Caenorhabditis elegans: one gene and its partner. The protein of the gene in region 1 purifies or fractionates together with the protein of each later gene. This does not show direct contact. Each region holds a gene or a part of one and is shown in the gene's direction. Other genes may lie near its edges.

What was found. Proteins that work in one complex are often made in the same cells at the same time.
Region 2: the proteins of pfkb-1.1 (region 1) and fbxa-12 fractionate together in Caenorhabditis elegans (co-fractionation; one large-scale study listed by BioGRID). This does not show direct contact.

What each region holds. Positions count from the first base shown.
Region 1 is NC_003279.8:5,129,890-5,134,611, forward strand, and holds pfkb-1.1 (6-phosphofructo-2-kinase domain-containing protein), read left to right. Parts: upstream 1-1,630; 5' UTR 1,631-1,632; coding exon of another isoform or gene 1,633-1,650; coding exon 1,651-1,708; intron 1,709-2,014; coding exon 2,015-2,140; intron 2,141-2,194; coding exon 2,195-2,297; intron 2,298-2,353; coding exon 2,354-2,420; intron 2,421-2,477; coding exon 2,478-2,621; intron 2,622-2,669; coding exon 2,670-2,930; intron 2,931-3,437; coding exon 3,438-4,031; 3' UTR 4,032-4,216; downstream 4,217-4,722. Other genes in the region: Y110A7A.7 (Fungal lipase-type domain-containing protein), read left to right, coding at 1-99, 157-273, 336-647, 810-979, 1,029-1,158.
Region 2 is NC_003281.10:2,217,935-2,222,976, forward strand, and holds fbxa-12 (F-box domain-containing protein), read left to right. Parts: upstream 1-1,773; 5' UTR 1,774-1,862; coding exon 1,863-1,915; intron 1,916-2,639; coding exon 2,640-3,255; intron 3,256-4,224; coding exon 4,225-4,431; 3' UTR 4,432-4,507; downstream 4,508-5,042. Other genes in the region: srd-65 (Serpentine Receptor, class D (Delta)), read right to left, coding at 4,549-4,736, 4,785-4,863, 4,906-5,042.

The sequences.
Region 1 (4,722 bases):
GCGGCTGCGTATTCCATCGATCCGGAACCTTGCATCTCGAAAAACAATGCGACTTTATTGTTTTTCAAAAAGGTGGAGTGCGATTATATGCGTGACGAGGTAAAAGATCATGAGATCTTTAAATATTCAAAAATCATCTGATTTAATTTTTTCCAGTGCTGGAGTGTGATTGCTGCCGACAACGACACAATATTCGTCAGTTTCAGTGGAACAAAATCGAAAGAGCAGCTGGTAACTGAACTTATCGAAAGCATTGGTCGGCCAAAGCACAAAGTAGGCTCATGTTTCAAGTGTTTGTCTGAGTACTCACAGAGCAAAGAAAACTTATTTTACAGTTGCACAATGCTGGATCAGTTCATTATTACTTCTACTCTGCTCTAAAAACAATGTGGTCACCAATGGAAAAACTACTGCGAGGACTGAAAGACTCACTTCCAGATCATAAAATTGTGTTCACAGGACACTCATTGGGCGGAGCTATTGCAAGTATTGCATCGACTGTTTTCGTTAGAAACTTTCCCGAAACGTCGAGTCGAACCTTTTCAATCACATTCGGACAGCCTAGAGTTGGAAATCTCGAATATGCCATGACACATGACAAATTAGTTGCTGGAGGAAGCTGGAGACTGATTCATGGAAGAGATATTGTGAGGGAGACTAATATTTAAGATTTTTTTAATGCTTTATTAGGCTCAAAATGCACCCAAATGAGCGAATTTCGTAATGAAACTTCTCAAACAAGTTCGAAATTTTTTTCTGGCGGTTCAAAATATCCTCTTTCAAAAGACTATTAAAAGTTTTTTTTCTAGGTTGCACATATTCCGTTCTGCGTGGAAAGCTATGCCAGATGGTGTATACCATTCTACAATCATGGATCCTATCACCATGGAGTCGAAGTCTGGTTTCCTGGAAACATGACAAGTCAAGATACGTTCAAAGTTTGCACCGGGACTCCATTGAACGAGGACAATTTGTGCAGGCAAGTGACAGTGATCGAAATCACGTGATAAGAAAATCTTCTCTTACAGCAACACTCATCGCTACTTTGACATCAACGATCACCTGTTCTACTTTGGACACCACGTCTCAGATTACGGTGTTAATGGATGTGTAGACCCACCGGATGATGAACCATTAATAAATAATGAAAATGTTTAAATAAATTTAAAAATGTTGATTGAATTGCGATTCTTTTTCTCGTCGTTTCAACTGTTGAAAAGTCGGTTTGAGAGAATATTCTCGCTTCCGTGTGTCACGTATATTTTCTCAGGACTTTCTTTTTATTGGAGAGAGAGAGGAGGCGCCAAAGAAGATAAGACACCCGCGAACTCGAGTGTAAGAAGAAACAAGGGAGGAGAAGAGAGAAAGAAAGGGATGGTTGAACACAGAAAATGAATTGTTGGTTATTTTTCTTTTCGTTTTCGGTTTCCTACTTTATTGTTATGGAAGATTGTGTCTACTTTCTTCCCATTCATAACACGAACCTTCTTTCTTTCTTTCTCTCTATCATTGCCTGTTTTTCTTTCTCTCCGGCGCAATAATATTATTATTGATTTCTTAATATTTGATTAAAATGATAAGCCTTTGTCTTCGGAATCATTTTGATAAGAGACGATATCATTTCGGCTAGAAATGTTGCAGGAGAACGAGATGCCTGGGCCAGCCGGCGTACCGCAGCGCAAAATGACGTATTTCGTGCCGAAGAGTGGTCAGTTTACTTTAAAAGAGGACTTACCATTTTTTTTTGCTCTTTTAGACTCGAAATGTGCCCAAATGAGCGAAATTTAAAAAGATAGTTTATTTCACATAATTTCAATTAAAATTGATTTCCGTCCGTTTCGACATGGAAAATTTGGCAAAATTGAAGATTTTAGCTAAAATCAAATAGCCCATTTTTTTTCGAAATTTTGAGCCGTTTTGGACGCATTTTGAGTTGAAAAAGTGCATAAAATTGATCGATTAGCCCTATTTTATTTTCATTCCACATTGTCTTCTCAAAAATCTCAATTTTCAGACAACTCAAACGAGCAGGTTCGAGTTCCAAACGTCATCGCACTTGTCGGACTGCCGGCACGTGGCAAAACATACATCTCACACAAACTGTGTCGTTACCTCAACTGGATTGGAATTAAGACCAAAGGTTGGTCCTGATTCGATTATATGTACGACATGAAACAAAAAATCAAAATTACAGCATTCAATGTCGGCGAGTACAGAAGAAGAGCGTGTAATTTGGAAGAAGAAGGCGAAAATGAGTTCTTCTCGCCAAACAACGCCAGAGGTCAAAAGATCCGAGAGTGAGATTTTACGAAACTATGAAGAAAAAAAATTAAAAAAATTCCTGAATTTTCAGTGAGTGCGCGAAATTAGCCATTGAAGATATGGGAAGGTACTTGGATAACAAGGAAGGAGAAGTGGCGGTGAGTTACAAAGGAAAAAATTTCAAAAAAATATATAGACATAAACTTTTTATTCAGATTCTCGACGCGACAAATACTACAAGAGACCGACGAAAGCTTCTGATGGAGTTTTGCAGAAATATGATGCACGAGCCACCATTCCGTGTCTTCTTTGTGGAATCTGTTTGTGATGATCCTGATATTATCAACTCGAATATCACGGTAACCTTTAGATCTTCAAAATAATCACCTTAACCCGCATATTTTCAGGAAGTGAAAATCAATTCGCCAGATTATAAAGGAATAATGTCTCAAGAGGAAGCAAAAGAAGACTTTTTGAAGCGTATCGAGAACTATCGAATGCAATATGAGCCACTTGATGAGGATCATGATGAAGAGCTGAGCTATATCAAAGTTATCAATGCCGGAAAATCCTTCTATGTTCACAATGTTAATGGTCATGTGCAGAGTCGTGTTGTGTATTTCCTGATGAATATTCATCTTCTTCCAAGAAGTATTTATTTGTCAAGAGTAAGTTTAACAAAAAAACCGAAAAAATTTTGCGCTAAAAATAGGTAACAGGTCTCGACGCGAAAATTTTTATTAAATGCCAAAAAGTGTGCGTCTTTACAAACTACTGTAGTTTCATTTTTTTTGCTGCCGAGTTTTCATTGAGTTTCAGTTTTCTCACGATTTGCTGTAAAAACGTTTTTATTTTTTATTTCACTTTTTGATAAATTAATATTTTTTTACCAAACAAGCTAAGAGAGCCCGTAAAAAAACTTGAATTTTAACAAATCGTGAAAAAAAAAGAAAATCAATGAAAATTCCGCAGCAACGAGAGTTTGAAATTACAGTATTCTTTAAAGGTGATGCCTTTTTTCATTTAACAAAAATGTCGTGTCAAGACCGGACACCGGTTTTTTTGGCACAAAATTCCGTTTCTGGGATATAATTCATTCAATTAACAGCACTGAGAATTATCAAGTATTTTTAAACTTTTATAGTTTAAAAATCCCTTTAAAAAATTTATTACAGCATGGAGAAAGTGAGTACAACAGAATTGGTCGTCTTGGTGGTGATTCCCCACTCAGTGAAAATGGTTTAAATTACGCTGGAAAACTTCGCGAATACTTCGAAAAAGAAGATTTGGACGATTTCCGTGTTTGGTCATCTCAAAAGATTCGTGCCGCCCAGACAGCTTCTCATCTGAAAGATCTCGCTGGTCATACAGAGTTCTGGAAATGTCTTGATGAAATCGATGCCGGAATATGTGAAGGATTAACTTATGAAGATTTCGAGGCTCGTTATCCGAAACAATTCGCTGAAAGAGATAAGGATAAATATCACTACCGTTATCCAAGTGGGGAATCATATGAAGATCTGGTTGCTCGTCTGGAGCCAGTTATCATGGAGCTTGAGAGACAATCCAATGTCCTTGTCATTTCTCATCAAGCAGTTCTCCGTTGCATTCTTGCCTATTTTACTAACAAAAATCGAGATGATCTTCCATATCTGAAGGTTCCATTGCATACAGTCATCAAGCTCACACCAAAAGCCTATTCCTGTGAGATTGAACTTTTCAAATTCGACATCGAAGCAGTCAATACTTACAGAGAGAAGCCACAATAGGAAGTATTTATTCTTTATCTAGCCAATTATCTATGCCAAATGTACATTTATTTTTTCATACAAGTTCCCATTTTTATGTCGGGCGTTTTTTTTGAGATTGCATTTTCCCTGTTTTTGAACAATTGCCTTTGAATTTAAATACGTTGTCGTTTATGTGAGAGTTATAAAGATTACATCGATTTCAATTTTATGGACTGATTGCAATATTTCTCGCTGTGTCATTTTCTACAATAATCTATTTTTAATGTATTAAACGGTCAGGAGCCACATTAAAAATTTAAAAGAAAACCAAACAAGAACGCGTAACTGAGTTGTTGTTATTTTAAAAGAAAAATCAATTCATATAAAAATTAATCCTTAAAGGCGCAGAGATTTATTCAGATGGGTCCCGACGCGCAAAAAAGTTTATGGTAATTGTGTTTGAATTTTTGCGGCTGCTTCCTCGTTTATTTTTCTTGCATTTTTCAATTTATTAAGGGAATTTTGTCGTTGTTTAAAACCATTGTATGAAAAAAACACAGGAAATCCCACATTTTTAATGGAAGTAGTTTATTTGTACTTTGAAAACTGATTTTAAACATATTCTGACAGAAAAGTGAAAAGAAAACGACATCTGAATAAATCCATGCGGTTTTAAAAAGGATTGCCAAAATATTGTGAAGTTACGATAAAAACAAAGCTGAAGCAAGTT
Region 2 (5,042 bases), on another chromosome or scaffold:
AACGCTTCCTCCGTTCTCCAAAACATTCACAAGAGATTTGAGAACCTCGTTTTTATTTCTTGTAAAGTTTTGCAGAACAAATGAAGATGCATGGTTCATTGCTATTTTCAGGTCCTTGAATGCCAACTCCATGAAATCTTTTTCTTGGATAATAGTCTTCCGTCCTTTGTAGATCACAGCTGAATCAGTGTATTCCAGTTCAATCTTATCAAACCGTATTGAAAGGGTTTCGCTCATAACGTCCAGCTTGATGGTGTCAAAACGGATTCCAAGCTTGTCAAGGGCGGCTCTCAAGCTTCGACAGACTTTACGGCAGGTTAGTCTGGAATTTAAATAGTTTTTGATTTAACACTGCAAGTAAAGTTTTAAGTCTAAGCCTACCATTTTAGCTCCGCCTATTTTTCAGCCAATTAACGTTTAGCTCCGCCTATTTCTCAGCCAATCAACGTTTAACTCCGCCTATTTTTCAGCGAATCAACGTTTAGCTCCGCCTATTCCTCAGCCAATCGACGTCTCAGCCAATCAACGTTTTGCTCCGCCTATTTTTCAGCGAATCAACGTTTAGCTCCGCCTATTCCTCAGCCAATCGACGTCTCAGCCAATCAGCAATTAGCTCTGCCTATTTCTCAGCCAATTAACGTTTATCTCCGCCTATTTCTCAGCCAATCAACGTTTAAATCCGCCTATATCTCAGCCAATCAACGTTTAACTCCGCCTATTTTTCAGCGAATCAACGTTTAGCTCCGCCTATTCCTCAGCCAATCGACGTTTAGCTCCGCCTATTTCTCAGCCAATCAGCAATTAGCTCTGCCTATTTCTCAGCCAATTAACGTTTATCTCCGCCTATTTCTCAGCCAATCAACGTTTAAATCCGCCTATATCTCAGCCAATCAACGTTTAACTCCGCCTATTTTTCAGCGAATCAACGTTTAGCTCCGCCTATTCCTCAGCCAATCGACGTTTAGCTCCGCCTATTTCTCAGCCAATCAGCAATTAGCTCTGCCTATTTCTCAGCCAATTAACGTTTATCTCCGCCTATTTCTCAGCCAATCAACGTTTAGATCCGCCTATATCTCAGCCAATCAACGTTTAGCTCCGCCTATTTCTCAGCCAATCAACGTTTAGCTCCGCCTATTTCTCAGCCAATCAACGTTTATCTCCGCCTATTTCTCAGCCAATCAACGTTTAGATCCGCCTATATCTCAGCCAATCAACGTTTAGCTCCGCCTATTTCTCAGCCAATCAACGTTTAGCTCCGCCTATTTCTCAGCCAATCAACGTTTAGCTCCGCCCACTTTTCAACCAATCAGCATTTAGCTGCACCCAATTCTTAACCATTCAGCGGAGGAAAGCAGCCCCTTCTGATTGGCCAGAAGTTGCTCAACATCATAGTTTTTTTCGTAGTTTTTAAGAGTTTCGAGATTATTCTGTATATTTTGAAATTTGAAAATGAAAAATTCGCATTGCTGTTAAAATGCAAAAAAACTTACCGTTCAATGGGCTCCAGCTTTTCAAAACATGATTGGCAATTTCCAACGGCAATTCTAGTAAAGTAGGCATTTTCGAAAGTTTCTTTTTTCAAGTAAAAACCTGAAGTTTTCAGTGTAAAATTTGAAGAAATTGGGAAGTTTCGAGTAAAATGAAATTATACCAATGTGTGACTGTTATCAGTTTAAATATTTTTTCGGGAAAAACGGATGGAGTCATACTTTTTTTACGGAGGAAATGTTTAAATACCATGCGTCATTGGAGTTTGTATAATAGAGAGAGTGAATAGACGTTTTTGGTTCATTTTTACGTTTGAATTTACATATAACTCCAGTAAAATGTCCAAGTTATCGCCAACTTTGCTCACTATCAGTATGCCTTTGGAAATTTCTGATGAAATTTTGTCAAAATTGCCTGCAATGGATCTGTAAGTTGAAGTTATAATTTCACAAATTTTTCCAAATGAAAGTCAAACTTTATGCTAAAAAATTTGAATTTCCCGCCAAAATGTTCAAAAAACATTTAATTTGAATTTCGCGCCACAAATTTTTAAAAATGTTGATATTAACGGTGCGTCAAAATTTATTTGTTCAATAACAAAATTAAATTTTATGCCAAAATTGTTTGGAATATTAAAATGTTTTAAAAATTTTAAATTTATTTTTGTACCCAAATTTTTTAAATATTGATTTTGGCGCCAAAATTTTTATTCTTTAAAAAATTGAATTTCGTGCCAAAAATGTTTGAAAAATTAAAATTTGAATATATATTTTTTTAAGATTAAAAACGTTTTTTTTTTTGAGAAATTTAAATTTGAATTTGGCGCCAAAATGTTTAAAAAATTAAAATTTGAATTTTCCGCCAAATAATTTTAAAAAATTGAATTTGAATTCAAATTCAAAATTTTGGAAAATTTTAAAATTGAATTTGGTTCCTAATTTTTTTATGATAAAAATTTGAAATGTGCTCCAAAATATTTTAAAAAGTTCAATTTGAATTTTCTGCCAAATATTGTTGGGAAATTAAAATTTGAATTCCGTGCCAAAAATTTAAGTTTTTTTCATGATTATATCTGATCTTTTCGGTACCAAATAAGTGTTTCCAGCTCAAAGGAGTCTTAAAATCTTTTTAGTAAAAATGCAATGTTCCAGACTATCCTGCCGTAAAGTGTGCAAAAGTCTGAGAAGCGCCGTTGACCAATCAGGAAACCATCTCAACAGAATCTCATTTGACATTTGTAATGATTTCGTTGCGATGGACTTAAACGGAAGTCAAATCAAATATACCGATGTTTCTGGTACTGCATACGTGACTTACAAAGGACGAGAAACAAAAATCGAAGAAGACAATTTCATGCGAGCAGCGTTCAACGACTTGGCGAGCGTATTGAAAAACGTGAAGAAGTTCGTTTTTCAGAACTATTCGAAAGTAAAACAACAAGCCATCACATCGTCGATAAATGATATGTTGGAAAATAAATGTATAGCCGTAGAGTCAGTAGTACTATACAACTTCCCACATGATGATATTTTGAACATCATTTCGAGTTGTCAAGCTGAAGTGCTCAAAGATATTGTATTATGGCACCGCGACGGAGTCGAGTTATCTGAAAGAATCACTTGTCTGGACCAATGGAAAAAAGCACGAACTTTGCATTGTCGGTTTTTGTTTTGTGATCTAGTACCAATTGAGCACTTTTTTCACTTTGAAGAGTTCAGTATTCAAATTGACAATCTCTCAATGCCAAATGCGATTAAAATTCGAGATGTGAGTTTTTCTGATTTTCACATGTATGTGGTATATAGTAGTAGTAGTAGTAGTAGTAATCAAGGGTGTCGGTTTTTCGTTTTTCGGTTTTTTGAAAATCGAAAAATCGAAAAATTTCGTTTTTCGTTTTTTCGATTTTTCGATTTTTTTTTTTTTTTTCAGAAATTAGCTTCATATTTTAGCCATTATTCTTCTTTTTAGAAGAAATGTGTATGTTTTATTATAAATTCAAGCAAAATTAGATTTAAAAAATCATATTTTAAGGATAATTTTCCGAAAATCTTTTTCGATTTTTCGATTTTCCAGAGAATCGAAAAATCGAAAAATTTTCGATTTTTCGGTTTCTGAAAATCGAAAAATCGAAAATTTTCGTTTTTCGATTTTCAATTTTTCGATTTTTCGATTTTTCGATTTTCACTGAAAAAAATTAAAAAATCGAAAAAATCGAAAAATCTAAAAATCGAAAAATGACACCCTTGGTAGTAATAGTGTGTAGTAGTATATAATTTGTATGTAGTATGTATGTATGTAGCATGTATTTATGTAGTATGTAGCATGTATATATGTAGTATGTAGTATGTAGTATGTATGTATCTAGTATGTAGTATTAGTAGCAGTAGTAGTAGTAGTATATAGTATGTATGTAACATGTATGTATGCAACATGTATGTATGTAGTATGTATGTATATAGTATGTATGTATGAAGTAGTGGTGTGTATGTATGCATGAATAACCTAATGAAATTTCTCGAAACCTTCTGAAAAAAGTTGCGGTGGTTTAAAAAATTACCGAAATTTGAAATTTGACCGACTTGTCAAGCACTAACTTTTATGAAATTACCATATAGCTATCTTAAGTTTTAACTTGATTTAGATACATTTAAAGTCGACGGATCACCAGATTTCGTAAATTTAAGTAAACCGAAATCAAGTCAAGACATCTTACTTGTATACCCAAATTTTTTTCAGGACCTCATGAACAAAACTACATTCAAGACCTGCACTATTTCAACTCACCATAATGTGCAATCAATTGAACTTGCAAGAATATTTCAACCGGACTATATGGGCGACATTGACTATAACATCAAATATTCTAATAACACTGGCACCTTCGAAATTTCTTTCAAATCATCACTTACTATTAGAGCACGGTTTGTTATTAAAAAATGCTGACAACAAAGGGATCTTGTTTCTATATTTTCCAAACGACCAAAATTATTCATATGTGCATTAAAAAAGTTTAATAAAAAACATGCTTCATTTTTGAAAAAAAAGCCCATTAATAATTTTTCAAGCAACACTGTTCACTGCTGAAACTCTTGTAGCCCAACTACCATCAGCAGACGGCTTCCGCACGAAGAAAGCCCGAACAGCGTTCCTGTACGGTGTAATGAAGTAAATTTGAAAAATTGGATCCAAGAAGCAAGGAAGTGCTCCTAGACAGGTTATTGTGTACTGAGAGATCAGGAATTGATGGCCTAAAGGTGATATATACAAATTATATTGGTTTGATAAGCTTCCCTTACCAGTGACTTGAATCAGAATAAATAAAAACACTACGGGGATATAACTAAGCATCGGCAGAAAGATTTGAAAGTTCAGGCCCTGGAAACCAAATTAAGCTATATAACAAAAGCTTACGCCTACAATAATCATTTTCCGAAACATAACACGTGTAGCGTCCGATGTGTTTGGGGATACATGAGGTTTAAGAAGCTTCATCGCCTGATGCTTCCAGTAGCTGCCGATCATTGGAAAATACAACGTGACAAGGAACATAGCCA